4 separate regions of the Mus musculus genome follow, and regions 2, 3 and 4 are each reported to be linked to region 1. The links are microRNA targets in miRTarBase. Many come from high-throughput screens and were not tested one by one. Region 1 holds a microRNA gene; each other region holds the end of a gene's coding sequence.
Evidence for each region. The annotated mature microRNA mmu-miR-34b-5p reads AGGCAGUGUAAUUAGCUGAUUGU and lies in region 1 at 3,377-3,399, shown strand. An mRNA with a match to its seed (bases 2 to 7 or 8) in the 3' UTR can be bound and repressed. Matches are read on the target gene's strand: a 7mer-m8 pairs with bases 2 to 8, a 7mer-A1 pairs with bases 2 to 7 and ends in A, and an 8mer does both.

Region 1 (7,121 bases):
TATGATGCATTAATATGATTAACATAATTTAACTATATTAATTATCTATACAAACAAACTGTCTATCCCTCCAATTAAACCACATCTCTGGAGACTGTTGTTCCCTAGAGATGAGAAATAGACAAGAATTGTTTCTGGAGTAAGAGCTCCATCAACCTTAACTAGGAAGCTATTTTTGTTAGATTGTTCCTAAAAAAGTAAATTAACATTTGATACTGAAAGCAAAACTATTGGTTAATTGAGAAATGGAAACAAGAAGCTAATTGAGAACTTTTCCTAATGAGAGTTCATTGAGTTGAAACCAGAGGTATAGAGCTGCTGGCAGTTCATTCTAGCTCAGATGACAACCCACTATGATTAAACAGATTCATTGATTTGTAATTATTCAAGGGCTAAATTGACTTCAACTCAGCCTTGCTTCAACTTATAAACTAGTTCCTAAGCATACTATCGTGAATATTAATATGGTCATCTGACATTTGATAGTCTGCATAAAAAAATGCATGGTTTTATTTCCTAGGAAAGTATGCATTTTTGAAATGTTTTAAAAGAAGTGGCTAAAGATCATTGCTTTCTAATTAGTGTCCTTCATTCTTTCCTCCCTAACAAGAACCTTCAAATGCTGCAGAAATAGCCTGCAACTGGGAGGTTGTATCAAGAAGAACAAGAGCTCAAGGCCAGCCTGAGCTAATTGAGTCCCTATCTAAAAACAAAGAGGACGTGTACAGACGATGTGCTGTGTGTACTGACAGGAGGAAGTCATCTCTCGATGGCCCTTTTACAGGAGTCATAAATTAAGTCAAGATAAATTTGTCAGATTCACGCAGGAAGTTCTTGTTTTTGATACTTTTCATGGTTTCCTTCCGGTCAATACTATCAACCCATCTCCTCAAAGGTCCTACCCCATCTCCCAGATCAACAAAAACCCAGAAATTAAAGCAGTAAACAGCTCCTCCTCAAGGTGCCTTCCTGGATCTATCTAACCAAATGTAATGGTCTGCTTGGGCATTTTAACCACACCACAGGCATTCTTACTTAGATTAAAACATGAGTCTCCCTGGTCTCTAGACATGCCTAGGCATGACCAGCAGATGCAATAAGATCCTTGGAGTTTCTCTAGTAACTGTGGGCAGGATCAACAGCAACCCTAAGAACAGACATTCTTTTCTATTGTTGCTTTCTAACAGAACTAGGGCACACGCATTTTTTTTTCATCATTTTACTTTTTATCATTGAAGAAAAAAATTTAGTCTAAATTTCAAGACAGTTTATGCAATGATAGCTTTGGATGGAAGCAATAAAACTCAGGTAAGATATTTAAGATGCTACTAATAGAGAAAATCCCTAAGCTGGGTGGAAGCATGACACATGGAGTGAAATTGAGCAAAATGCAAAATAAATGATTTTTTAATGATGTCCTCCTAAAACTTGTAACTCTTCATAGTGTTTATGGGATGGAGGCTATTTCTACTACTTTTATTTATATTTGAACGTTTAAATGACCTTTTGTAGGATACATTATACTTTTCTCAAATACAAGAAGACTGAATACAAGATAGTTATTTACAAATGTCTTTCATAAGTTAATTTTATAATAATCTGGCATTTTCTACTTCATTTTCCTTTCACTTAAGCCTTCATAAAACAATGACTCTGAAGGAAAAAAACATTGTCTTTTACTTTCAAAGATAATGTTAAAATATACACAAGTTTATTCTTGGGAAGTTCTTGGGTTTTAATGGTTTCCACTTGGAATTTGTGTTGAATGTTCCTGATGATTGGCATATATTCATGTAATTAGTGGCATCTACAAGACCATTTGCTGGGCTTACAGGTATCAGTGTATAGCTAAGAAATGTCCCTTTGTAGACTGCAAGACTGTTGGATCAATACAAATGGGTGTCATACAGCATACAGGAAGACCACAGTCTGGGACGGCTACTTCCTACTGAATTCCACAAAGTTTGCAATCAGAGAATACTGTATATCCTCTCTGGGCTCAATTAATTAAAGGAAAGGAGAGGAAAGACTAAAGGAAAGAAATATTAGTGAAGATGGCGCAGAAATGCTGTCCCCTCAGCGCCTCCTATTCCCAATATACACAAACACGCACCCCGTTATCAGATATAAAATAGCAAAAACAAGGGGAATGTAACTGACAGAAGATATGGCTTCTCGGGCTTCTACAGACCTCATCCTTAATGTCCAAATCTACCCTTGCTTCAAGGATCTACCTGAACTCTCACCTCCTCCATGATGGTGTCTGTCAGCTCTTGTTGGCACACCTCCCACCCCCACCCATACCTGTTTTTTTCTATTAGGAAAATCTATCAGTTTAGCAACTTTATACTGTCTGGAGTAATAAATAATGTGTTCACATTTTGTTACCACCTAGACTGTCTGATGGGTAGTAAGACAAACGCCTGTTAGGTGCTGGATTTGTAACATTTAAATAAAACAGGAGCCCAAAGTGAGACTAGATATCCTCAAGGCTCACGGGGAGATCATCAAAACTGTGTCTTTGATCTTATAAGGGCCACAACTTTGACCTACCAACAAGGGTGTTGGTTCAATGTTTGACCAGAAGAGTGGCCCACACTTCACTGTATGGCCCTGTAAGAGGTAGTCCTAAGAAAGAACTTGGGTACAGGCAAGGGCAATCCTGCAGGTATGAGTGCCCAGGCCTGCTCAGGCAGGAAGGCTCCAGATGAGACGCCTGGGAAGCGGTTTCTGAGAATGGGCATATGAACAGTGAGGAGGCCTGGGGCTTCTTGGGCAATATATTGGGAAGGAGAGATGGATGTAGGTCTCTGCGCTTCTTTCTTCGATGTAGCAGTAACTACACTGTGAAGATAAACTTCTCAAGAATCTGTCTCTCCATCTCCCCGGCCCCTTCCCAGGAGGCTCTGCAGGAGCCCTCCCATTGCCCCTTCTGGTAGCTTCTGCCACCCCTCCCCCACTCGCCCCGCCCCCTCGGCCTCGGGGTTCCAAGGGCGGTTGGTCGCTGAGCCACGGTCACTCGGCCAGTAGGAGCTGCGGGGCGCGCGGGCTGGACAGAACCGGCTCTAGACTTGGGTCTGGAAGCCGTGAAGAAGTTGTTGGAGGCGGGTCAGACCCGGCTTGCGGGAAGAAGGACTCGGGCCGGATGCCCTGGGGTCCGGGCTGAGTCGGGGGTCTCGGGGGGGACGGCGGGGACAGGGGGCCTCAGCGCCTGGGGGTTCACCTGGGGTCGCGCGCGGCCCTGCTGGGTGTGGAGGGGCCTCGGGAGCCTGAGGCACCTCTCGCTCCGCCGCCCTCGCCTGTCGACCGTGGCGAAAGGGGGCGAGGGGCCCGACCCTCGGGAGCTGCAGTGGCGGGCGCCCGGTGCTCGGTTTGTAGGCAGTGTAATTAGCTGATTGTAGTGCGGTGCTGACAATCACTAACTCCACTGCCATCAAAACAAGGCACAGCATCACCCGCCGCCCGCGGGAGGAGAAGCCAGCGCTGCAGCCCCACTGACTCCGCAGAAAGCCGAGGCCGGAGCCAGGATGCGTCAGCAAAGGGCCGGGAGCACGAGGTCTAAGTGCAAGTAACCCTCGGAGACCGGCGGCCTCCTTTAGGGACCGTTCGGCTACCTGTGTGTAAGAGCCAGAGCAAAAACGGTTCAGTGATGTGTAAAGAGAATCGGTATACACCGGCCTTAACATAAAAAAAAAAAAAAAAAAAAAGGCCAGGAAGAGCCCCCCCCCCCCCCCCCCCAGAACAGTTCCTGCTGCTGCTGTGATTCACTGCCTGATTTCCACTTCTGAGAAAGCTATCACCAAGGCAGCGACTAGAGTCAACCACAGCTTGGCTGACGATTTGCTCTGGTCACACCAAAGTCTGAGAGCACCAGCTAAAGACTGCATGCTTTTTTCTGAGTCTAGTTACTAGGCAGTGTAGTTAGCTGATTGCTAATAGTACCAATCACTAACCACACAGCCAGGTAAAAAGACTGAAATTCCTCCGACTGAGCCTCCTGTGAATCGTCATTTTGGTGAGGACAGAGCCATAGGGAAATATTCTTACCATACTATTAGTGGTTTGGGGGGGGGGGGGGAACCGCTAGCCCTTAGCTGCTAAGTATACAATGTATCAATTTGTGTGGGGTACATTTTTTGTGATTTTTAGATATATTGGAAAAATAGAAATTATCCCTTAGCTGATTTGGTCATTATATTGACTTGTGATTATAAATCTTTGGACTTTGCCTGACATATTAATAACACTCTAAAAAATAAAGCGCCACGAAAATCTCAGCAATCGTGTTCATTTCCTTTCCAAAAACTGGCTTTAGGATCTCCATTTCAGCTCCTGTCAACCCCGTAAAGTCATTAAATGGTTAGTTGCTATACAGACAAAATCTCCAGGGAAACGTCTCACACATGATTGTGACCTGGAAGGGAACGTTAAATGTTTTCATAATTTTCCATGGGGCAAGGGAACTCAGCCCACTTAACCAGGTATATTTTTTAAGGTATTAACAGTTGCGTTCTAGGCAACTTTTCGTGGGAATAATTAGTGAACACGATTTAAAACCAGCTGGTTTCCTAATATCTGTAATAAAAGATTTGAGAGGTTTTAAATCACACAAGCTGTATCCACCGGTACTTCTCGGCCCAGTTCTAGATTAGCGCTTTATGCAGATGTATCAATGCAAACCTGAGAATTTCCCCAGAGGTAAGAGTGCGAAGCCTTGGCAATCTTGTCCAAAAGAGGAAGGCGCTCTTTAAAGCTCACATTATTGGGCTATCTGGGGGAGGAGGAGACGCTGGCTGAGGATCTAAGAGACAGTCCAGGACTGTACACATCACAAAGTTGAGGCTTTTACTCTTAAGGCTTGACTGGCCCCGAAAATTGTGACCTCGACAGAAGCCAGCTGCTGATGGGCCACAAGCCCTCGAGGAACCCCAGATCTACGGAAGAAGAAACACAGGCATTCCGGTGGTGGCAGTTACCAACAGGACGGTTCTCCGGTAGGGGCGGGACGCCAGAGCTAAGGAAAGCGTCCTGAGTCACCATGGAAACGGGGCCCAGAGGCTGTCCTAGCGGCAGGAAGGAATCCCAGGAAATCTGCTCCCCTGGATTACTGGTGTTCACCGGCTGCTCTGAGCAGGATGCCAATTTGGCTAAGCAGTTTTGGCTCGGGGCGTCCATGTACCCCACTACCGAATCTCAGCTCGTGCTGACCCGAGGCAGCAGTCAGAGGCTACCGGTGGCGCGGAACTCTAAAGTCGTTCTGAGAGGTGAGTAGCAAGGCTACCTCCTGGAAGGGGAAACTGCCTGGTCTAATTGTCAGTCAATTGAGAAGTACAAACAAGCAGAAACAGGCAGTAATAGGTATATGCAAATACACAAACAATTCTAAAACTGCTGCAATTCTCCACTGTAAAGGATCTCATTGTTACATATAAATTCATTCTAGAGCTGGAGAAATGGCTCAGCAGTTAAGAGCACTGACTGCTTTCCAGAGGTCCTGAGTTCAATTCCCAGCAACCACATGGTGGCTCACAACCGTCTGTAATGGGACCTGATGCCCTCTTCTGGTGTGTCTGAAGACAGCTACAGTGTACTCACATAAATAAAATGAAAATCTTAAAAAAAAAAAAAAATTCTAAGAGTCCCTTAAATGATGGCTTTTATTTGGCAAAGAGGATGGGTTAATCTAAGGAAATGGTGCTTAGATTAGGAAAGCATTTACATAAAATTGAATTCAAATTTAAAAGCCCAAGAAAAAGTTGTTGGCAGAGTCTAATTTAGGAACCCTGTTTCCTGACTGACAAGCCTTCGGGCCAAGGATGTATAAAGTGTTCTTATTCAATATTAATAGGTATATGAAATTAAAATACTGTTCATGTCAGCTTTTCCAATAACTTTCTCTTCATTTGTATTTCTTAGAGAAAAGTTCTGTCCAGCCCTTTCCCTTTGATCAGGACAGTAAGTATCAAGTTTTAATGCCTTTTTATATGTAGACTCCCCAGATTATCTTAGAATTCCTAGAAGTATACATTTACACTGTGATATAACTAAGCTGCATATCCCACACCTTGCTTCAGGGCTCACATACTCACCCAGAAGATAACTTTCTGACTCTACAGGCACTTTCTCCCCAGCATCCCTGACCCCACAGGCACTTTCTCTCCAGCATCCCTGGTCCCACAGGCACTTTCTCCCCAGCATCCCTGACCCCACAGGCACTTTCTCTCCAGCATCCCTGGTCCCACAGGCACTTTCTCCCCAGCATCCCTGGTCCCACAGGCACTTTCTCTCCAGCATCCCTGACCCCTCAGGGACTTTCTCCCCAGCATCCCTGGTCCCACAGACACTTTCTCCCCAGCATCCCTGACCCCACAGGCACTTTCTCTCCAGCATCCCTGACCCCACAGGCACTTTCTCCCCAGCATCCCTGATCCCACAGGCACTTTTTCTCCAGCATCCCTGGTCCCACAGGCACTTTCTCTCCAGCATCCCTGATCCCACAGGCACTTTCTCTCCAGCATCCCTGGTCCCACAGGCACTTTCTCCCCAGCATCCCTGACCCCACAGGCACTTTCTCTCCAGCATCCCTGAACCCACAGGCACTTTTTCTCCAGCATCCCAGGTCCCACAGGCACTTTCTCTCCAGCATCCCTGACCCCACAGGCACTTTCTCCCCAGCATTCCTGGTCCCACAGGCACTTTCTCTTTAGAGGCTGTTTCTTATCTCCACTTATGATTTACTCATCATGTAAAGGTATGGGAGGGTTCCTGACATCATGAATAATTAATGCAGTCTTCAGTTATTTACCAATCATTATAATGTCAAGACAGTATGTATTTGTGTCCCTTCCTACTCTATTCTCCCATATCCAATTTCATGTCAAAACTGTAAGAATTATGACAAAGTTGTGTCAGATTAAATTTGGTTTTATTTTCTCTAGAGGATGCAATTATCTTTGCTAAAGCCCAAAGGATTCAGGAATCTGAAGAGAGAGCAAAGTATCTCCAAAAGGTGAGCCAGCGCTTCATCTCTCCTGGTTCACCTCTCTGGTTCTCATTACCTTTCTCCATCATTGATAAATACTGTTTGTTGTTGTTGAGGACATTTTATTTTTAAATGCATG
Region 2 (7,121 bases), not on the chromosome of region 1:
AGGGGTCTAACCATCAGCCTTTCTGTGCCTACTACAGAGGCAATCACTCAGGATAATGGTGGCTCTCACTTCTCCTGGGCCAAGGAGGCCGAAAAGCGCAATGAACTTTGGGCAGCGCGGCACAATGCTTGGTATGCAGCCTTGGCCCTGAGTCCAGGAAGTAAGGTGAGCTGAAGCTGGGGCTGGAGGTGGGATCTACCCACTCACATAGAGAAGACTGAGGCCCACCAAGGGCTGGCTGAGTGGGTGTGAGGACAAGGGGCTATAGACCACTGCACCCAGCTATTCCAGAGTCTAGAGAGAAAGAACTGTTAATTTGCTCCAAACTTAGGAGTTCACAAGTCAGCCTCAGGTATAGTGTTGAGCACTTAGGAATTCTAAACATTGGAAGGGCCTCCTGGGGAAGAAATGGAGAGGAAGGAGGCAGTCTAGCTAGATGGGACGGCTGGGCAGATTATGCAGAAGTTCAGAAGGGTGGGGCTGCTGGGACCCTGCATGGGGTCCAGGCTTAGATCCAGGGGAGTAGTGAAGACCTGGGCTAGCGAAGAAGACCAGTGGGTCAGATGTGTCACTCCGCGACATCAAGACCCCTTGGATTGGTCCTAGGCTTGACCACAGTGATCCCTTAACTTTGGGTAGGCAGTGGGTGATGGGGGGAATCACACAGGCTTGCCTTCCGATTCAGGCCTATTCCACGGACGTGTGTGTACCCATCTCCCGGCTGCCAGAGATCTTGGTAGAGACCAAGGAGGAGATTAAAGCTTCAAAACTCACAGGTTTTGTTCTACTTCACTGCCGTCTGGGAGGCGCTGGGGTTAGCCAAGGCCTGGGCAAGGAGACTAGAGGCGACACTTACTGTTCTCTGGGCCCCTAGGAGCCATCGTTGGGCATGTGGGTGATGGCAACTTTCACTGCATCCTCCTGGTCGACCCAGATGATGCAGAGGAGCAGAGGAGGGTCAAGGCCTTTGCAGAAAATCTGGGCAGGTGAGGACTGTACCGGGGAGGGTTGGGGGCTGGGGAGGGCGGAGGCTGAGGGAGGAGTGCTGGGGGTTCCTTCAATTGGCTTCCTAGGCGGGCCCTGGCACTCGGTGGGACATGCACTGGAGAACATGGCATCGGACTGGGCAAGCGACAGCTGCTCCAAGAGGAAGTGGGCCCCGTGGGCGTGGAGACCATGCGGCAGCTCAAAAACACACTGGATCCCCGTGGTCTCATGAACCCAGGCAAAGTGCTATGAGGAATGTGTAACCCTTGGCTGGCAATCTCCAGAACACAAAGCCCGCCCCTGTTCTGGTCTTTTCCTTCATGCCAACGATCGAGCACGAAATGGAAGGGCTGATGCTATCTATCTATCTATCTATCTATCTATCTATCTATCTATGCCTGCCAGGTAGCCTCTGTAGCTGGGGCTCAAGATGAAGGTGAGGGAGCTGGACTCTCTCACAGAAAGCTGCTACCCTTGTTCTTAGGAGCCTTTTACTCCGGTAGAAAACCCAGGGTGTTTCCCAGTGGGGTGTCTTCCTGGCTGGCAGAGGTGGTGTGGATCTACTCCAAGCTAAGATCAGATCCCAGATCCGTCTGTGGGGGCCTCTCCTCTGCTGGTGCCCTGCATCATGACTCACCCTGTATATATGATGACAGGAGCGTTCCTTTCCTTGCAGAGGGAGGGAGGACCGTTCCATCCGGCACTGTTGGGCCGGCTCTTTGGTCACGTGAGCCCCGTTTGCAGCTGCATCCTTTCCCCCTCTAGGTCTCTTGACCTTGGGCTAAAAAGCATTTGTTTTGGGCCCATCCCCAGACTAACTGTAGCCTGGGGAGGGGATGGAGTTCAAGTTTTGGAAGAAAGTCAGTCCCAGCCCCTCTGCTTTTGCATACCTGAGGCAGGAGACCTGCCAGTGGTGGAGGTCACCTGACAGCTTCCCCACCAGGAAACTGAAGCACCTTCTTCAAGCTGTTATGGTGGACAATAGAAATACAGATGAACTAACCTACTGTGTCCCATCCCTATCCATGGTATAAAGCTCTATCCACCAGCGCTTACTTTCAAAGTCAGGGTCTTGCCTACTTTGGGGCCTGGCAGTTTTGAGACTCCCTGGTCAGAGCCCTGGTCTGGAGGTACTTGCAGTTGTTCCCCAGAAGTCCACGAGAGGGCGCGCAACACCAGAAACCTAGCAGACACTTTTAGGGTGGCCAGTCTCTAGGCATTTTACCCTTGTGGGTCCCAGTCAACTGTAGTACCATCTTCTCTACTGCTAGGTACTTGGGTTGGAAAAAAAAAAGGAAGAAGCAGCCTCCTGCCCCCCACCCTGACACTTTCTTAGTCCAACTTCAGGTCTGTCTCATGATTCTTTGGCTTGCTCCCAAACTACTTCAGGATGAAGAAACCCAAACACCAGTCCCGAATTCACCATTGAGAAATATCGCCAGTGAACCCCCCTCACCCCCAGACAGTCTGTTCACCTCAAGTCCTCCCAAGTTGAGTTCCACTGGGCAGGGCTCCTACATACACCCTCCAATAATGGGAAACTCAATACACAGCCATTTCCCCACAATTTCTTTTATTAAAGAAAATCCCAAACATACAGAAAAAGTTGAAAGAACAAATACACTATATTCACTGAAATATCAGTCGTTGAAGATTCAACAATGGACATTTTTGCCTTATTTGCTTTGTATATTTTGGGGGAGGGGAGACCATATGGGATTAGATTATACATTTCTTGAAATCATTCAACTATATATTTCAGCCACTGTCTCCTAAGGAGGACATTCTCCTATGAGTTTCAATACTATTAAATGGCTTAGATGGGTGGTTTTCAAAAGGGGCTCCTGGAGCTCTCAGAAGGCTTTCTGGGCTCCTCAGAGCTAAGGGGAAGAACCCATCCCTTGGCTCTTCCGGATTTTCTTCCTTCTCAGAAAGGCAGAGTAGGAACGAACAACACAGGATTCTGGAGGGCTGTCTGGATAAAAGGTGACACACACAAGTGCCACCTTGGGAAGCCCAGACAAGCCCAGTCCCACCCACCCCTCACACCAGGCACTGGCAATCTGGGTCCAAATTCAGAGGACATGACAGCCAACAGAGGGCTTTGGTGTGCCAGGTGGGGGCGGAAGTCACTGGGGATGGGATGAGCACCAGCCTAGAGAGCCTAGAATAGCACCCGGTGTGGGGCTCAGCGCCGCCCCAACCAACTCAACCACGGGACTCAGCCACAGCACTGCCAGGGCAGCCGAGCTCACACAGCCAAGGTGGGCACACAAAGCCTGTCTCCAGGCCCGGGGGTCAGACAAGGAGATCTCTTTGCGGGCTGGGCCCTGGCCCGCCAGCTCTGCTGGTAGGATTATATATAGAACGGGGAGACACAGGTGCCAGGCAGAAGCTGGAGGTGCTGGGAATAGAACAGTGCCCTTTGCAGTGACATAGCTACAAGGAAGCCTGCTGCGCATGTGCCAGGCCTTTGGGGCAGATCCCCGACACAAACTGAACCGAGCCGCATGACCCTGTCCCCACTTCACATGCAAGGGATCGAGTTCACGGTTCCACCAAGAAGTAAAGTGCCCCAGTACAGACAAGAGCCCAGTTTCTGGCCATTGACAGTGCTTACAGTTCAGGTCCTGAGGCGTCTGACACTCAGGCTCTAAATAAAGCACTCTTAGTTCTCTGAACTTGCCTCCCTGCCTTGGTGCCCACATGCCCACTGGCCTCCAACACATGTCCTTGCACAGAGCAATTGCTTCAGGACGCATCTGAGGGCAAGGGTGGTAGCATAGTCCAAACTTGTGGGCCTGCTGGGACTGGGCCCTGACACAGCAGTACAAGGGGCAGGTCTGGAAATGGTCATGGTAGAGAGGTGGTGCCATCTCCCTCCAGAGCTTCCCTTAGCTGGCTCTGCAGGAGGCCCTGAAATGCAGCTCCTGGAGCCTGGCTAGAAGACAGGCAGGTATGCACTGCTGCTCTGCCCCGAGGTTTCCTGCCCAGCCTGCAATTTGCTAACTTGTATGAGGCTGAGTGGCTGGTTCTGGTTCAAGGACTGTGAGCTGGAAGAAGCCCAGAGCAGGGCCTTTTCCGGGGCCTCAGAGAAGCATGCCCATGAGTCAGCACTTGGCTCTGCACGGAGCAACAGGCAAGCAGAGGGTAGGGAGGGGGGCAGAGGCTCTGAAAAGCAAACGGACTGGGCTGGCATCTCCAGGTGCCTGTATCCTCTGGTGGCTGTAAGAGCTTTGCCCCTGAATATCATTCCAGTAGCATCCTATCACAACCAGAGATGACAGAAGACTGACAATCACTCCATGATGCTTAAGAATTTATAAACTTCAAAGACACAGCCGAGCCACTATGTAGAGCCTCTGCCCAGGAGTGGCTAAGCCATTACAGGTGCTGAGGGAGGGGGTGTGGGCTGAGAGGTGGACAGAGGGAACTGGCATTTGCCTTCCACCTTGATTGTGTAACAACACTTCATTAAAATAAATCACACGGTGCATCTTTTGTTACACACTATTTTAATACCATATCAAAACACCTTGACTGATAAGCTTTTCTCCTAAGCTTTGAACAGTTTTAAAACATTTTTGTAATTTTTTTTTTTTGGATTTTAATATATAAATACAGAAACCTATCCTGCATGGGCTGATGTCATGTGTGAATGGCTAAAATATTTCCGTGCGCCTGAAAATGGGGGTTGCAGCACACAGTCCTTTAGCTAAGTCTAAATTTCCTCAGGGGGAAAAAAAAATCACAGGGGCCTTGGAAAAATGTCCAGGCATTTTTTTTTTCAGTGTATTTGTGATTATTAAATCCTCTGATGGGATCAGATCCAGGAGGAAAGGCAGGGGAGACTCGGGGCTGGGGGAGGGCAAGTGTCCACGATGGGCTCTTCATCTTCCTCTTTTTTGGCAAGGAAATCAAGGAAATTTAAGGGGAGAAAAGTGCAAAACCAAGCCAGAAAAATGGGACAGAAGAACAAGAAAACAAAAAAAAAACGAATCCCCAAAGGTAGAAAGGTTAGTGATGCAGAGAGCCAACTGGGGCGCTGGGCAGAGGGACTAACGTGTGCCCGCCTGCCCACCTGCCATCAGAGCGCTAGGGTCAGGACATGGCTATGCTTGCTTCTGTCATGAGTGGTTTTTAGCTGGGCAGCAAACAGCAGGCTGTAAACATCACAAGGGAAAACACCAGTCGACACAAGACTTTTTTATAGAATTTTTTGTTGTTTGTAAACACTTTTTAAAGACAGACCCACAACGCCTTTCAAAGGTGAAAAAGAAAATGCCCTTTCCCTCCTGGGTCGAGGGTGAGGGGAAGGATAGAGGTCAATTCATTCTTCTCTCATCCACTGGGTGTCCTCAGGGAGGACCATTTTCTGGAAGTCAGTGCAGAAGGGTGCCCTGTTCTCTCTGGTGTCCCAAGCTCAGCTCTGTCCAGTGTCCGAGGAGCCTCCTCCCAGGAACAGGGGCTGGCTGTCCCTGTGTGGGTCGGAAGAAGTCAGTCCCGCTTCATCTTGCTGAGAGTTGCCGCTCCATCGCACGGTGGCAGCAGCTTGTGTCCCCCTGAGACCAGGCTGGTTGGCTGGGGCATCTGGTTCAGTCCAGGCAGGCCCATTGGAAGCCAAACATCATGCCGGCGGCGGCATTCTGGACCTGCACTCTGGAGCTGGGATCCAGTCCCTCTGCCTCACTCTCCCTCGCTTGGCATCAGGTTTTGAGGTGAGGGTAGAAAGAGCCAATGTCCCTGATTTGCCTGACACCAGCAGCTGTTCTGGGCATTTACTTGGAATAAATAAAATAAACCTAACAAAAGAAAAAACAACAAAGAAGAGAGAGAAGAAAAGGGATCCCCAAGCCTTTGGATGTGGGATCAAGTGGGAAGGGGCTGATGGTTTTCAGTTGGATGGGACAAAAACAAACTAAACAAAACAAAAGAGAGAGAACACCCAACACAGTCCTCAAAGGCACAGGCAGGGTGGGGGCGGGATAGGGGCAGTTAAACAAGGTACCCTGGGGAAGAAATGAAGGTCAGATCCAATGGTTACACAGCACCAGAAGTGCGTGTGTGGGAGGGAGTAGCCTGCTGCTGTGACACTGTGCCTGGGACACAAGGACTGAGTGTGGCCTGGACCTCTCAGGCCGGTGGAAGAACCAGGAGTGGAAAGACCTCAGGCCATGTCTTTGCAGTGGACAATGTCTGTTCCACAGGCCACTACTTAGTGATTCTTCCCTTTCAGAACCGAGTCTCTGAGAGGTGAGGGAGGTGAGGCTGCTGTAGAGCCTGGCTGGGGGCGCCTCTGCTCCAGCCCATGCACCCTGCAGGGGACCTTCTGCCTCTCCTGAGGGGAAGGAGCCTGGTTCTATCTTTGCATGGAGTTCTCATGACTAGGTTACTATCGCTCTTTCATGCTCCCCCAACTCCCAGGAACATCCCCCTACTTCCTGGGGACTGCTCTCTGAGGAGATGGCTTCTGTCTTTCTGCTTCTGCTTTCTCCTTGGTGGGGTGTGTATCAGGCAGGCCAGCTCCTCTCCCCCAGCTCCCAGAAACTTGACTCTTAGCCCAGAGTCTCCCGCCAAGTATGGGCTCACCTTTGAGAGGAGTCGGCAAGCAGGCCCAGCAGGGTCAGTCAGCAGGGTGCTCTGGACAAGATCTGTTCACTTCAAACCATGAGTCTATGCAGCTGGAGTGGGGCATCAAGGGGAAACACATTAGCTGCTAACAACACTGTTCCTGCCAAGGGAGCCTTTCAAGGGGTTCTCAGGAAAGGCTTTCTAAATCTCTCCTGAAACGACCCCAGGGAAACATGATTATGCCCCCAATTCATTGAAGCAGAAAAAGGAAGATGATCAACAACGATATCCTAAGGGTGGGAGGGCAGACGGGAGCTTGAGTCAGTGGTTTGAGAGAGATGCTGCTTCCCAGAGGACCCAAGTCTGGTTCACACCACCTGTCTGCTGCTTCACAGCCATCCCATAAATCCAGAGATCTCACCCCTCTGGCCTTTGTAGGCTCCTGCATTCTGATGCACATATACATAGATGCACACACATACCCATAACTTAAAATTAATAAAAAAGAATAATCCTGAGCTCAGGTTTGGGATTAATAACCCCAGGGCTCAGTAGTTGAGAGT
Region 3 (7,121 bases), not on the chromosome of region 1:
AGGTTTCCTGTCCCTTATTTTAAGCAAACTGGATAGCTCTTTGAATATGCAGCTAGATGACTGGTGGGAGACCATAATTAACTCAGCCAGTGGGTGCATGTTAAATATATACAAAGCTCTTGTGGGCTCCTCCCATCTGAGTATGCATAAAGTTAAGAATTATAGAGTTTAGACCAGCAACATAGCTTGTCAGTCCCTAGAATGATCTGAGTGTGCTCTGCAGAGCAGTGTCGCTCCTACGCTGTTAATGTTCCATAATGAAGAAAGTTTGAATATTTATATGTAAAATTGCCATTTGTAGCAGTTGGGAGTTTTTAGTTTCCATTGTATTTCATCAGGGCTCTATCTTAAAAAATACATATATTTGTATGTATGTGCCTTCATTTATGTGCATGCATACCTTCCACAGCTCATGTGTGGAGGACAACCCATGGGAGGCAGTTCTCTTTCCACCATGTGGGGGGATCTTCATGGTCGTCAGGATTCAAAGCAAGAGCCTTTAGCCACTGAGCTGGCTTGCCAGTCCTGGTGTTTTGTTTTCTTAAGTAGCAATCCAAGCTGGACTGGGAGGGATGGATATTGTTTTCTTCCTTTAGAAGGTTAGAGAGCCACCAACCTTAGAAATTAAATGTCGTTCATTTGAACAAGCTTTATGACTGCAGGCCAGTTGGTCCTTTCCAGGATACAAAGATAATGGTTGTCTACCCTTATCCCCAATTTTGCTCCTAGGTACTACTGGGCCTTCGTGATACCAGCAATTCCATTGTGGCAATTACTCTCCGTAGCCTGGCAGTGCTGGTGTCTTTACTTGGACCAGAAGTGGTTGTGGGAGGAGAACGAACCAAGATCTTTAAGCGCACCGCTCCAAGCTTCACCAAAACTAGTGACCTTTCCCCTGAAGGTAAGACTAAAAATTATTTTATTAGGTTTTTTAGTATTATAGAATACAGGTTCATGTTGAAGTTAATAGACAGAAAGCATGAGAAAAAGTTGAATTTCTCTTTTCAAACTCATAGTGGGTACAGAGTAACCTTTAATGGCTTAAGTGAGAATCCTTTTTTGCAAACCCATGAGACAGATAACTGTTTACATACGATTATTTTAATGATGCTATGTACAAATTTATTATTTTCATGTACTATATATTAAAGATGTGTTCCCACGTCATTGCATAAACGCTACCTCACTTTTCTACCTGCCTCATATTTCACTGAATCCAATTCAGTGAGTTAGTGATGGCTGCTGTTTCTGCTGCTGGATTTTAGTCAGTATGTACTAGTATTGTTAGAATACTTACACATGCATCTTTATATGTGTGGTCCCACTCCCATAGCAGTCTCAGAAGCAGACTTTGTAGGTTAGAGGATATATTTGAATTTTAGTAGGGACTAAAGACTTGTTTTTTTAACACTAGATGCTTAAGTTACTTTGTTAGACTACTTGGATAAAAGATATTTTTGAGTACTTCAGGAAATCGTTCTTTGGTTTGTTTTGTATTAACAAAATTAGCCTTTTTGCTACTTTGTATGACCTTGAATAGGACCATGATTTCTTTACAAAATCCTGGGTCTCTAATGCAGTTCCTTGGATTGGAGTGCTAGACACTGAGCGCTGAGGGTGAAGGAGAGAGACAGGTGCTCTAGAGAGCTGAAGCCTTAGAGTGACACTTCACTCCCCTTAGCCTAGCTTTAAAGTAGGGGAAATATTCAGCTGTAATTAGAAATCTTTCTGACTGACATCTAATCTTAAGTGTAAGTTTCCTGGTAATTGTTAAGCCTGCTTTCCTCACTCACTGTCAAATACCACAACAGAAAAGTTATTTTCAGTGTATAGTTCTGTGGTGCTAAGTCATTATTTTGGGCTTGTACTCTTACTAGCCTTTTATTCTTAAAAGGAAATTAGAATCATGGTCTTACATTGCTACCAGAACAATTTTAAGGACTGAAATTTTATCTATGCATTGCCTCATAGTTCTGTCCCATCACCAAGTGGCAACAGAACCTGTCTTTAACCTCAGGAGACAGGAAACCCATTTAATAATGTTTTTTTCACCAAATATTTAATGATGTTCTTTTATCTGTGCTACATGCACCATTTCCCCTGACTGTTGCTCACCAATCATGTCCAAGGTGTAAGCACACCCCTCTCCCTTCAGGTTCTCCCATGCATGTTGTCTGCAGCCAGCAGAGTCGGGTCTCAAAAGTCTTGGAGGACCCCTCGTCTAACGTATTCCCTAAATGGTTGTCTGGCAACGTGCCCAGCAGCAGCAGGAAGCGCATACAGGAAGAATGTTACAGCTCTCTCTCACAGACAGGTAAGAACCTCAGCTGTGTCCTACTGCTCTGAGCTGTTCCTGAGAATGGTAAGTACACTTTGGACTAGCTGTCTTGTCTGACCTCTCCAAACAGTTGTTATGCATCTAATCCTCCCACATTGTACATTAACAGTACTTGAATTCATTTTTGTATCAGATGCTTTGGTATTCTGATACCTTCTGCATCATAATATACCAAAAGTGAAGAGTTCTATAAGATGTTAATAAAGACACGTAGCCAAAAATGTTCACTAGGATAGGAAACTGGAGTAAACCTAGATCCCTCAATACCTGATGACATTTGAGAAAATCTGTTTTAAACTTATTTGTGGGCCAGACAGATTGATGGTTCAGCAGTTCGTTAAAAGAACAAATTACTCTTGCAGGGGACACAAGTTTGGTCCCCAGCACTGGCCTCTAACTAACTCCAGCTCTAGGGCATCCTGTCCTCTGACGTCTGTGGGCACTTCACCCACATGCACGTGTACACACACAGTTAAAGATGAGTCTCGGAACAGTGAAATGGGCTGGACAGATGGCTCAGGAGGTAAAAGCTCTTGTGGCGAAAGGCTAGCAACCCAAGTTCAATGAAAAAGTAGAACCAACTGCACTCTGTCCTTTACCTATACACTATCTGGCATGTATGCACCCAGATCCCCTCCTTGCCAACCCCAGTAAATAAATAAAAAACAAACAAACAAAAAACTTACTTGAGCACACATTTCTAGGTGTAATTACTACCAAAGGATAAGACTGATTCTGTATTTATCTGTATTTGAAAGACTTATGCCAACAGGTATTTGGACATTTAGTCAATGATCTAAAAAGATCAGTTAATTATGACATGGTATGCCTTTGAGTTAAGTGCCATGTGGATTTGGAGAATTTATTTGGCATCTTTTTTTTTAAAAGATTTATTTATTACTTATTATATGTAAGTACACTGTAGCTGTCTTCAGACACTCCAGAAGAGGGCGTCAGATCTCATTATGGATGGTTGTGAGCCACCATGTGGTTGCTGGGATTTGAACTCCGGACCTTCGGAAGAGCAGTCGGGTGCTCTTACCTGCTGAGCCATCTCACCAGCCCCTATTTGGCATCTTTATGTTCTACTGCCTAACTTTTGCTAGTGTTCATGGATATTTCCAATTAGACCTACTTATTGCTTGCTTTAAGATTTCATGAGACTAATTCTCGCATATACCCATAGGTGATCAGTTTTCTCACACCATTAAATTCCCTATGAATGGACTCTCAGATGTGAAAAACACTTCAGAGGACAATGGAAGCTTCCCTGCAGGTTCTAATAAGCCCGAGGAGTGGCCTGACTGGAGCGAGCCTGAGGAGCCTGAGCAGCAGCCTGCCAGTATTCACAGATGGCCCCGAGAACCCTGTGATGTAGCAGAGTCCCAGCACACAAACCTGACCGCAGAGGAGGTGACCTGGGATGATGGTGAGGCTAGCTTTGGCACTGAAATAAACTCAACAGCTACAGCCTCTGCTCCTGTGCCTGTTACCTCAGGGGGACAGTCAACCTCTGCAGCTTTGGTTCCTCTCACTGAAGAGTCAAAGCCTTTGCAATCCAGTCCTTCCTCAAAGACCAGTCATAGACAGCATGAGGAAGTCAAACCACCCCAAGTGTCACAAGAAAGACCCCTGAAGGCTCCGTCAGGACTTGGTTTGGGAGAAGAGTTTACCATTCAAGTAAAAAAGAAGCCAGTACAAGACCCGGAGTTGGACTGGTTTGCAGATATGATCCCAGAAATTAAGCCTTCAGGTACTTTTCTTATTCTGCCTGAACTAAGGACAGAAGTGATGGTCCCTGACAAGGATAACGTCTCATCACTGATGCAGTTTTCCTCAAAGTTTGCTGCAACAGAAATGACCGAGGTGAGTTCTTTCTTTGTAATAAGCGTGCTACTGTCAGGGTTTCTCTCAGAAGTCCTAGCTAGCAATAAACAAGCATTTTTATCAACGAAAGAACAGAGTGCACAGCTGACTAAAAATGTTCAAAGTAAACCCAGAAATAATACAACCAGTTCCTAGAAAATTATTTCAGAGTGCTACAAAAAGGAACTAGTCCTTCAGACATGCCCAACCTGTTAACATGACACAATGCTATCATCTACAGTGTTCATGGTTCAGAATTTTAAAGAAATCAAACTACCAAGATGGCTCTATGGTTAACAATACGGGCTATTCTGGAGGCCTGGGTTTGATTGCTGGCTTTCTCAGGATGCGTCACATGAAATGATCTGTTAACTCGAGTTCCAGGAGATTCAATCCCTCCGACCTGTACAGGCACCAGACACAGTGGGGCATAGATATATGCATGCACATCAATGTTTTTTAAAAATACAAACCCATTTTATATCTTCTGTTTTGTGCCTTGTGTATAACTGTCCTTGGCCACATCTGGGTCCACCTGCTAAATGAGTAACTCCTCGATGTGGGGAAAGATGTCACTGTGTTGCACACTTACTTTCCAATGGGTGTGGTTTTTAACATCAGAACTAATCTTGCTTTTAACTTTTGGTAACAGCTTTATCGTTTCTTATCATAAGGCATTCTCTCTGGGTCATTTTTAAATGCTTGGCTTTTCAGATGTGTACACAATTTGCCGCAGACAGCTAGTGTCAGTGTGTTCTGTTGCAGGGAGAGGCAGAAGGCTGGGAAGGAGAAGAGCTAGCCTGGGAAGATAACAACTGGTGACGATAATGAAAAGCTTCAGGAAGAATTCTCAAAGAATTAATACCTCAAAGCAAGCTGCATGGATGCAAAACCCCAAAGCAGCTTGTGTTCCCCACACCAGGAGCTCTTTTTTGCAGTCTGTGCCAAGTCAAGCAGAGACCAACCTCAGGTTGCTGACTAAGTCCTGGTGGCAAAAGGCTTCGGTGCCAGAGTCCAGGAGAAAGTGCTGTGTGCACTTGACTGAGGCCAGTTTCCATACAAAGCAAACAGCTAAAGAAGTGCTTTTTTCCAGGACAATTCTGGAAGAAATAAAAAATTCAAGCTGGTAAGCTTAATTTTGTGCCATTTCTTTAAAAGAGTAAATTCTATTATGAAATAACTTAGTGGAAAAAGAAAACAAACAAACCTAGCTGTAAATTATAACTTCAGACTGCTAAGGCTCCTTAGGCAGTTTGTCTGTTTACAGTCTGTCCCTCTCCTTCGGACCTGGGCAGTTACTGTTTCACCTGTATTACACTGGACCAAAGCTCTCAATGAGAAATACCCACCCTCATCTCCCATCTTGTTCTTTATGTCAAATAAAGATTATTTTCACATTTACAAAAGCTCTTTTATGTGCTATGAAAATATACAAACATAATTTACATTCACAATTTCATTTACAAAACACCCAGGCAGGCATCTGAAGAGTCAGCCCAGTTCTGTCGATACACAGGCCATTCATATTTTACCCTGTAAGCACACAGCGTTTTAGCTTCTCGATCCTTCCTTGCAGCGCCTCCAGTTCTGGCAGCAGCCATGCTGGAGCAAGAGAGTGTTTGAGTAAAAACTCAGTTGTCTCCAAAGCCCTTGCTGCAGCTTTAAATACTGATCTGTATTCTTCTTCAAAGGGCAACACCCGACGGGCTCTCTTTGTGTGAGGCTGGAAAATAAGGAAATCATGAAACAAGTAATACATAATACTCATTCTAAAAATAATATAAGAGAAACTAGTCATAGGATCACGAAGAAGGCAGCCTTCCCATTTGTATTAACAATAACCTAAATGTGCTACTACTCTCCACGTCCTAACTTGTATGTGGCAGACAAGAAGTCGCACTGTGCAACGGTTCCCAATGATAAATGCTGTCTTGTCCAACAACTATCCACGAGTAGTCTTTAAAAACATCATTAAGGAAATAAAACATGAATTTCCTAATAAGTTTGTAAATGCTGAGAGCCATAATACCTTTCAACATACTTTTGGAGCCAATTAAGGAAAACTAAGGCTCCAGACATCTTGCATAGAAGGGGAAGAGGAACTGAGGTGAAACTAAAACATATCTTAACAACTAGTTTTTCAAAGGGAAGTCACAGTTTAAATTCATAGGGCTTTCGAACACAACTGACTTAAATTGAACTTTATATATATTCAGGCCTACAGCTACATCCAAGAAAACAAGTTACTATTGCACTATAAACCTAGAACATTGTTTTCCTTAGGACCCTATTCTATCACCTGTGTTCAAAACACAATTTTGAATGTATGTAGTCGTGTCAAATTTCTGCCAATTAATAGGTACATGTGATATTTGAGAAAAGTGATTATTATTGATGAGATGAATTGAACAAACTGACATCTAAGTGTCAGAAAATGCATTTATGTCATCATTGGTACAATATGCAATTACCAATAATAAAGAGTATATTTGGTACAATGGTTACAATTATTTCTTGTGTTCTTGTCTGTGTTGGTAACATTTCAGGGAAAGTGTATGGTTTTTGGTTTTGGTTTTTGATGTACAACTACCATAAAGTAAGAATTTTACCTGTCTACATTTTACTTGAAATTCAACATGAGGACAAGAATCAAACTAGTTCATCAGTAATGAGGGCAGATTCCCTTGTTTGACCAGTACATGCTTAAAAGCAGCCCATACCTGAAACGCTGACGTCTTCACTTCTTCTACAGTCACCTTAGCAGCAGGTTCCCAGAAAGTGCCTTTCTCCTGCTTCACATTGTCCACTGTGGCAACCTCAGCTTCATCTACAGATTCTGTCTGCCAAAGAGCACCAAAGAACACATTACATTCTCTACTAGATAGCAAGTGATATGAAATCTAGAAGATGAAAACAC
Region 4 (7,121 bases), not on the chromosome of region 1:
CCCTCTTGTGATCCTGTGAGCCTGGTTGTGTCAGCAGTCCTGAGGGTCAAGCTTTCTCTGTGTGGGATTAGGGTGCTGAGGGCTGTAACACCGGGTCAATTTCCAGGCAGAGAAGGATACTGGAATGATGGTGTCCCCAGCTGCACTGTGGCTTCTTGATCCACTGGGCCCCAGGCAGGTCACACTTGGGCCAGGTATTAGGGCAGTAGTAGTGGTCTTACCTCTTAGCTTTGGTGTGTCAGCACTCTTGGAGGGCAAGCTTTCTCTTGGTGGGATTGGAGTGCAGAGGACTGTAGAAAAGGGCCCGCTCCTGGGTGCAGATGAAAACCAGAAGCCAAAACATCTTTTTAAAAGGAGAATTCCCAACAAAGAAGAATATATAGTTCAGTTAAAAGATGGATAAGTTTTTCTTAGCTTAAGTTGGTTGGGTCATACTGAGGAAATAAATTGCTGACCTTCATCTCTGGATAAATCTAGCCCTTCTCACTATATGGTTGCTGGAAATTGAACTCAGGACCTCTGGAAGAGCAATTGGTGCTCTTAACTGCTGAGCCATCTCTCCAGCCCCTGATTCTTCTCTGGCACTCTATAATATGTTGAGAAGATCAACATAAAGGAGCGAAGATATCTGTGAACCAAATTTCTAGTTTCTTTCTTTTTCTTTTTTCTCCCCATTGTTTAATTCAGCATTAGACGGGGAAGGGGGAATCAGTAAGCATGATTTAGCCTTTGGAAGGACCATCTCCAGTGTTATGGGTGTGAGTGTCGTGAGTGTGAGATTGAACCTATGAAATCTCTCTGAGATGTCATGATTACTTAACCAATACCTTTTATTTGACAAAACCACATGGGCACATCTGCTTCTGTTCCTTTTAGGTCAGCCTGGATTCTCGAGTTAGAGAGGTGATCAACAGGAGTCTGCTGGACCCCAGCCCACACATGTATGAAGACGCCCAGCTTCAGATCTACACCCTAATGCACAGAGATTCTTTCCCAAGATTCTTGAACTCACAGATCTATAAAGCTTTTGTGGAAAGTACCACCAGCTGTACTTCTGAATCCTAATTTTCAGTTGACAGGCCAAAAAAAAAAAAAAATCCATTTCAGAGGGCTGGGATGGGAAATAAAAGTAATTAAATAACACCAGAAATTGAGTTCCTGAAAAACTACAGGTTGACTGCTGGGGAAATACAATGAGGAAGGTCTCTTGTCTCCATTTTTATCAAGGTTATCCATGATTCTGTTTGGGGCAACAACAACAAAAAAAGCCTATATGAGACAATGAATTGCCAAATTAAGTTTGTTTGATTCAACACTTGCTCTACTTGCAAGCAAATTGTGTTCCTAGTCCTCTGAACAATCCCCTAGTGCATCTCTAGAGGCCGCATGTGCAAAGTAAAACTGCTTCGTCTGCCCTTTACTTGTGCTATTAAATCAGTAGCATACCTTGTATCTGTATTTAAGGACTTTTGTGCAATATGGTCTCTTAGAAACAATTGCCAACAAATTGGCCGTGGTTTGCATTTTTTAAAAGCATAATCCAATACACACAAAGGCTATTTTAAACATGTAACAGTGATATTTAACCATGCTACATACTGTGTTTAGTATACCGTCTCTGAAGCCAATTTTTCTGTACATGTTTAAAAAAAATAGAAGCTGTTAAAGGATCTTACTGTGTGAGCCCTCTGGTTGTTCACTGCCCAAATTCTGGCATTTTTGTTACAGAAGAGTTTACTATATAAGAAAGAAAGAAAGAAAGAAAGAAAGAAAGAAAGAAAGAAAGAAAGAAAAGAAGAGAAAAAAAGGAAAGAAAGGAAAAGAAAGAAAGAAGGAAAGAAGAAAAAGAAAGAGAGAGAAGACAAAACTTTATGATAAGAAAAATTTTAATAAGCACAAAACAATCTGCAGATATCCTGTCTCATTGAAAATTCCAAGAGTGATACTGTTTTTAGGTCTGAAAGAAGAAAAGAGTCTATGTATATATGAAATGTCCAGTACTATAATTGAGTTATTAAAGAATGGCTCCTCAGTTCTAAAAGAGTGATGCAAACCTCTGAATGTCAGCAGGTAAACAATAATAAGTTCGATAATCCAGTTTGGGAATATAAAGGGAAAAGAACTAGTAAAGGAATGCCTACATGTAGCACTGTCAAAAGCATAGTGAGGAATTGCATCTGACTTGTGGCGTATTCACCTTGAACATATAATCCAGTGAAAAGCTTAAGTTTTTCCTAAGTAACACTTTATAAAGAATTACAAAGAAGAAAACCTTCAATGTCAGACCTTAACTGTTTTCACATAGTCTCTCAAGAAAGACTTATTTTAACATTGTTAAAAACAAACTCTTAACCCTCATCCATAATTAAAAGGCAGTACAGTGCTCAAACCTTCTAGCTGCCAATATTATTTTTTTATAATTACATTAACTCTTTACATGAAATACTCCCCTGACCACAGCATGTATTTATGACCTTCTGAACAGTATCGTCTTGTGCACAAAACCAAAATTACAATCAATGTCATATTTATATCAAGGTCTTACCTTTCAATATCAAAATCCCCTGGAGCCTATTTTTTTAATCTTAAACTCAATGAGTATATGTTGAGTAACCTTTAAAAATGAAAGATTTAAAAAGATTTATATCCACTGAGAATACAGGCCTTATATTAAGGATGATATTAAAATTATAGGTTTTATTTGTCATTTTTAACTACCTCTCATATTTTTAATTTATTAAACATATTTTTTTAAAGCACAAGTTTGGAGTTTTCTTTTTAACTTTATTTTACTTGAAAGGTTGGCATCATGTTTCTTTTTCCATAAATTTAAAACATTTCAAGAATTGTTTTTTAAGTGAATATGATTTTCTAATTTATATAGAATTCAGGAGCTATGATTCAAAGGGCTATTACATATTCCCTATGCAAATATTTTAACTGTTGCAGTGTTTGACAAAATGGGATTTTAAAAAAACAATTTGCAGAGTGGAAAAACAAAACGTTGTGTTTACACTGGCGCCGCTGACTATCCTACCATGCTCAGCACTTTTAAATACATTATTTATGACAATGTAGTTTAAATGCAAGATATTTATAATATTCATCTTTTAAAAAATGCCTGTGGATTTTTTTTTTTCCTGAAAGTGTTAGTGTGTTTAAGATACGCTTTGCTTATGTCACCTAGATGTTTACTATTTGAATAGTTTTGGTAATCTGTTGAGAAAAAAAGATAGTTATGAAGATGTTTACAAAAATATAATCCTATTTTTTCCTAAAGAGTCAAGAAAACGTAAAAGCATCATGGCTTCTATTGTGAAGTCCCACCGTTCTGAATGATTTGATTCTTTCCTTGATTAGTGTTGATTATGCTAATAGGATGTATACACATGTATAGTGTACCATCATCCTCGTTCTGTGTTTGGGGCACAATGAGTTGGTGCACATGACCAGGAAAAATGTAATATATTACCACACCCTGCATGCATGATTGTTTTCGATGTAGACTTTATTATATCCCTGTTCCATGGATGCCAGTGACTGACTGTCACAGGCGATCTTTACAATACGCTCTGGACTATTGGGCGAGCTGTCTGTGTGACAATGCATTTAATATTTTACCAAATGGAAGAGATAAGGCTCCTTGAGAGAGTCCTCATCTCTAACCTAGGCATTTGCAGTGTTTGATTTCAAAGTTGCTGTGTCTTTGGAACCTGTGTACAAGGAGGTTCCAAAGCTGATTTGCACAGTCCCTGCCATTAGCCATTGCTATGTGAGCAGTTCTATGCTAAATTCATATTTCAGGGGGATGGCTTCTTAGTTCACTTGAGAATGTTTCAAGTTTTGAAGAGTGTGTCTGTGGACTTGTGACTATGCCAGTCTTTAAAATATGGTGTGGTTTCTTCTGTTTAAGTCACAGAGCTATAATAAACAAACAAAAGCCCACAACTGGTGTCTGCCACCATTTCAAGAGCACAACACTTGATATAGTCAAGTTTGATTTAATTCCTAGTGGGTGAATCGCTCCCTGGGGAGACCCTAGCACTTTAAATGAAGCACCTTATATTTACGATTGCCAAGATAACTTTGCATATTGTCAGAATCTGTTAATGCACACACAAGAGGATAACGCACTTTCTATAGTACCTGTCTATAGGCATATCTATTGTGGAAAGCAAAGGAGATTGTGTAGGTGATGTATACAGCGGTGACTCAAAGGCAGATGTCTTCATAGGTGGATCTTACACATAGACATGCTAATGCTGAAGGGGTGACTCTTCTCTTTCTGACTTATTATGACATCATCCAAAGTTAGCACCGATGCTCTGATGGCATGAAAAGGGCATATGAATGTTAACAAAACAGGATTTTGATACTGAAGTTATAAATGTAAAAGTAAAAATTACAATATGGCCTTTAAAACAGTCTTACAATATTTATATATGACCAGTTCTAACAGTGTGTCACTGCCTAGAACATTTATTAGTGCCCTTCAATGTCTCCTAGTATACAGAATGTGCTATATTTATTTGATAGTTAAGTGTTAAAGGACTATAGAAATAGATAAAGGCTTATCTGTTGAAAACAAATGTACATCTCTTCCCATTATGCTAATTTAAAATACTTGAATCTTAATTTAAGTTCATTCTTTTATTCTAGAATTTTTTTAATAGTCTCAGAAAAATGTCATATTGTAATTGTGGAAACTACACTTGCAACAAATAAAAAACTTCAGGTGCTTTGGTGAAGGTTTTTAAGTGGAAGGAATGAAAATAAAGCATAGAAAAATGAACTTTTTGAAGAACCATCAATTTGTTTTTAAACAGGTAGAAGATACACCTAGAACCCGACATAACATGAATTTTTGAATACTTTCAGCTTTTATATATTGACATATTATTTTGAAACAGGAAATACGGTCAACAGATTGGGTTACCTATCTATTTAGATTGGCAGTTAATGACCAATCTCCAAAGTATCTATTTTTAAGTCTGTTTGAGTACTCTTTTCTGTTCTTAAATTTCTGATGATCATAAAATGCTGTCCCTAGAAAGGAGCATACCATGTGTAATAATCTTAGCAATTCTCCACTTGCCACAATTGCAAATATTTACCACTAAAACCTACCAAACCTTCCTTCAGAACATGTCTGCAAGATTATAATATCGTCTTAACATCTTTGCAGTGCACACAGTGCATGGAGGAGCACTGGCTTTGATTTCTGTGGGTGTTAAAAAATATTTCTTTTACAAATAAAGTCCTAAGCAGCCATAAGGGACATGTTTTCTTTCCCACTGATTGAAGAGACTATACCAGACCATCATTCTGTAGAAAACAGGGAGATGGAGTGTAGCCTTCGTTGGGCAAATGGGGTTGTGGACTCTGATTCTCATGACATAAAGCTCTAAGTTGAGAAAAAGCCATGACCTAAAGTATTCGTGATGATAGCCACATGTACTATTTTAATGTCGTGCATGAAATCTGAAATTCAGTCCCCTCCTCATGTCTTATATCGTATGTCTTCTGTTGCAAAGTTTTCCATTGATTCGTGCCTTTATCACAGCATTTTCAGCTTTTTAAACAGTTAGAAATATGTGAGCTTTAAACCGATGATTAAACAAACTGTCTAAGATTTGGGCACATTTCCTTTTGAAATGACAGCTGATTTCGAGTTGTATTTCTATCCAGAGGTGGTAGGGAAAGTCACGTAACCTTTCTGAATCTGAATCTGTTTCTTTGTCTTAAAATATTGACTATGGGGTGTCCATGGGAACAGTAATGTTGCATATAATAATTGACCGGAGTTCTTCAGCCTAGTAACAATAACATTTTTTGGAAGGTCTGTAGTTGGTGTCATTTCACTGTATTCTCTCCTCGTGTTTCCTTGGAAAGTTTAGGTTAGCACACAAAGAGGGTTCATCATGACATTTTCATACCAGTGTCTCATGATATCTTCTTCTCATTTGTTCCTCACTGCCTTTCCCAGGGCCTTCTACTTTCTTTGCTTATTTTTTTTTAAACATACTTGAAACTTTAAAATGTGCATAGGTATGGACAAACACCATACACACACACACACACACACACACATGCATACAGAGACACATATACACACAGACACAGACATACAGTTATGCCGCCCACAGACACATGCACAAGCACACATACACACAGACACATCGAAACATCCACACACACCACACACACACATACAGAAATACACACTCAAAGATGGAGACATAGGCAATAAAATGACCATCCCTGTGGGTGGGAATACTATAGAATCAAGTTAGTTACCAGTATGCCAAGTATGCCAGTGGGCAACAGAGCTGAAAGCAATGTCATAAATCATGATTCGAAAATAATCCCTTCAATATTAGTGTGACTTTGTCGATTCTATCATGAAACTATGAATAGAAAGATGAATACAAGTGGCTAAGTGTTCATTAACAGTTTCACCAAACTTTTGAATATTTTCAGCTTTATAGCAAAATGATGAGGCAGTAAATGCCCTCATGTGTTCTATGTGTCTGGGAAGCAATTTTCCCAAATAATAACTAAAATTGACCCATCGAGTCTGTGTTCCACTCCATCATCATCCTTCACCTCTTGCCTTCTCTGCCCTTCCCATCCTGTAACCACACGACCTCCTGTTGTTTCCTCTCTTTGTGTTTCTTTCAGCTGTGACTCTCTCTAAATGGTCTTGTTTTTTCAAAACCTTGACAGTTGTGAGTGGAAGTGATGTCTATTTTACAGAGCATCGCTCTGCAGGGTGGGGTTTGTCAAGACTTCTCCTGTTTATATGAGTGGGGATTTTTTTTTTGTTTTTGTTTGTTTGTTTTTAGTTTCTGAAAGGAATAATGTTATTCTGTTCTTTCTATCATAAATATTTGTTTTTATTTTATGTGATTGAGTGCTTTGTCTGCATGTATGTATGTGACCACATGTGTGCAGCACTTGAGGCCAGAAGAGTCCTCTGGAATTGGAGCAACAGATGGTCTTAAGCCTCCATATGGGTTCTGGGTACTGAATCAGGGTCTTCGGTTCTCTTAACTGTTGAGCCACCTGTCCAGCCCCGAATAGCCAACCTTATTACATGATATCTACTTGCCACTAGGGTA

Region 2: miRTarBase lists Znrf1 as a target of mmu-miR-34b-5p. The part of its 3' UTR that is shown has no 7-base or 8-base seed match.
Region 3: miRTarBase lists BC055324 as a target of mmu-miR-34b-5p. The part of its 3' UTR that is shown has no 7-base or 8-base seed match.
Region 4: miRTarBase lists Rgs17 as a target of mmu-miR-34b-5p. Seed matches in the 3' UTR shown: 7mer-m8 at 1,698-1,704, 7mer-m8 at 4,465-4,471 and 7mer-m8 at 5,972-5,978.

The regions. Positions count from the first base shown.
Region 1 is chr9:51,099,888-51,107,008 of GRCm38, reverse strand. It overlaps Mir34b (microRNA 34b), which reads left to right and starts at 3,364; the gene lies at 3,364-3,447. Hoatz (HOATZ cilia and flagella associated protein) reads left to right here and starts at 4,931. Exons shown (of 6, transcript NM_177702.4): 1 at 4,931-5,264; 2 at 5,917-5,955; 3 at 6,939-7,009. The coding sequence starts at 5,039. It overlaps Mir34c (microRNA 34c), which reads left to right and starts at 3,899; the gene lies at 3,899-3,975. It also overlaps a transcript of Btg4 not described here.
Region 2 is chr8:111,621,143-111,628,263 of GRCm38, reverse strand. Znrf1 (zinc and ring finger 1) reads right to left here. Exons shown (of 4, transcript NM_133206.4): 4 at 2,544-6,668. The coding sequence ends at 6,611. It overlaps Ldhd (lactate dehydrogenase D), which reads left to right. Exons shown (of 11, transcript NM_027570.4): 8 at 38-165; 9 at 686-776; 10 at 875-986; 11 at 1,074-2,653. The coding sequence ends at 1,239. Among named protein-coding and RNA genes, the nearest start is that of Ldhd, 5.6 kb to the left of the region's middle.
Region 3 is chr1:163,948,413-163,955,533 of GRCm38, forward strand. It overlaps BC055324 (cDNA sequence BC055324), which reads right to left. Exons shown (of 24, transcript NM_201364.2): 23 at 6,925-7,044; 24 at 5,594-5,927. The coding sequence ends at 5,733. Scyl3 (SCY1-like 3 (S. cerevisiae)) reads left to right here. Exons shown (of 14, transcript NM_028776.5): 11 at 730-901; 12 at 2,156-2,314; 13 at 3,525-4,204; 14 at 4,970-6,714. The coding sequence ends at 5,026. Among named protein-coding and RNA genes, the nearest start is that of Scyl3, 22 kb to the left of the region's middle.
Region 4 is chr10:5,826,897-5,834,017 of GRCm38, reverse strand. Rgs17 (regulator of G-protein signaling 17) reads left to right here. Exons shown (of 5, transcript NM_019958.4): 5 at 877-7,121. The coding sequence ends at 1,065. Among named protein-coding and RNA genes, the nearest start is that of Mtrf1l, 6.5 kb to the right of the region's middle.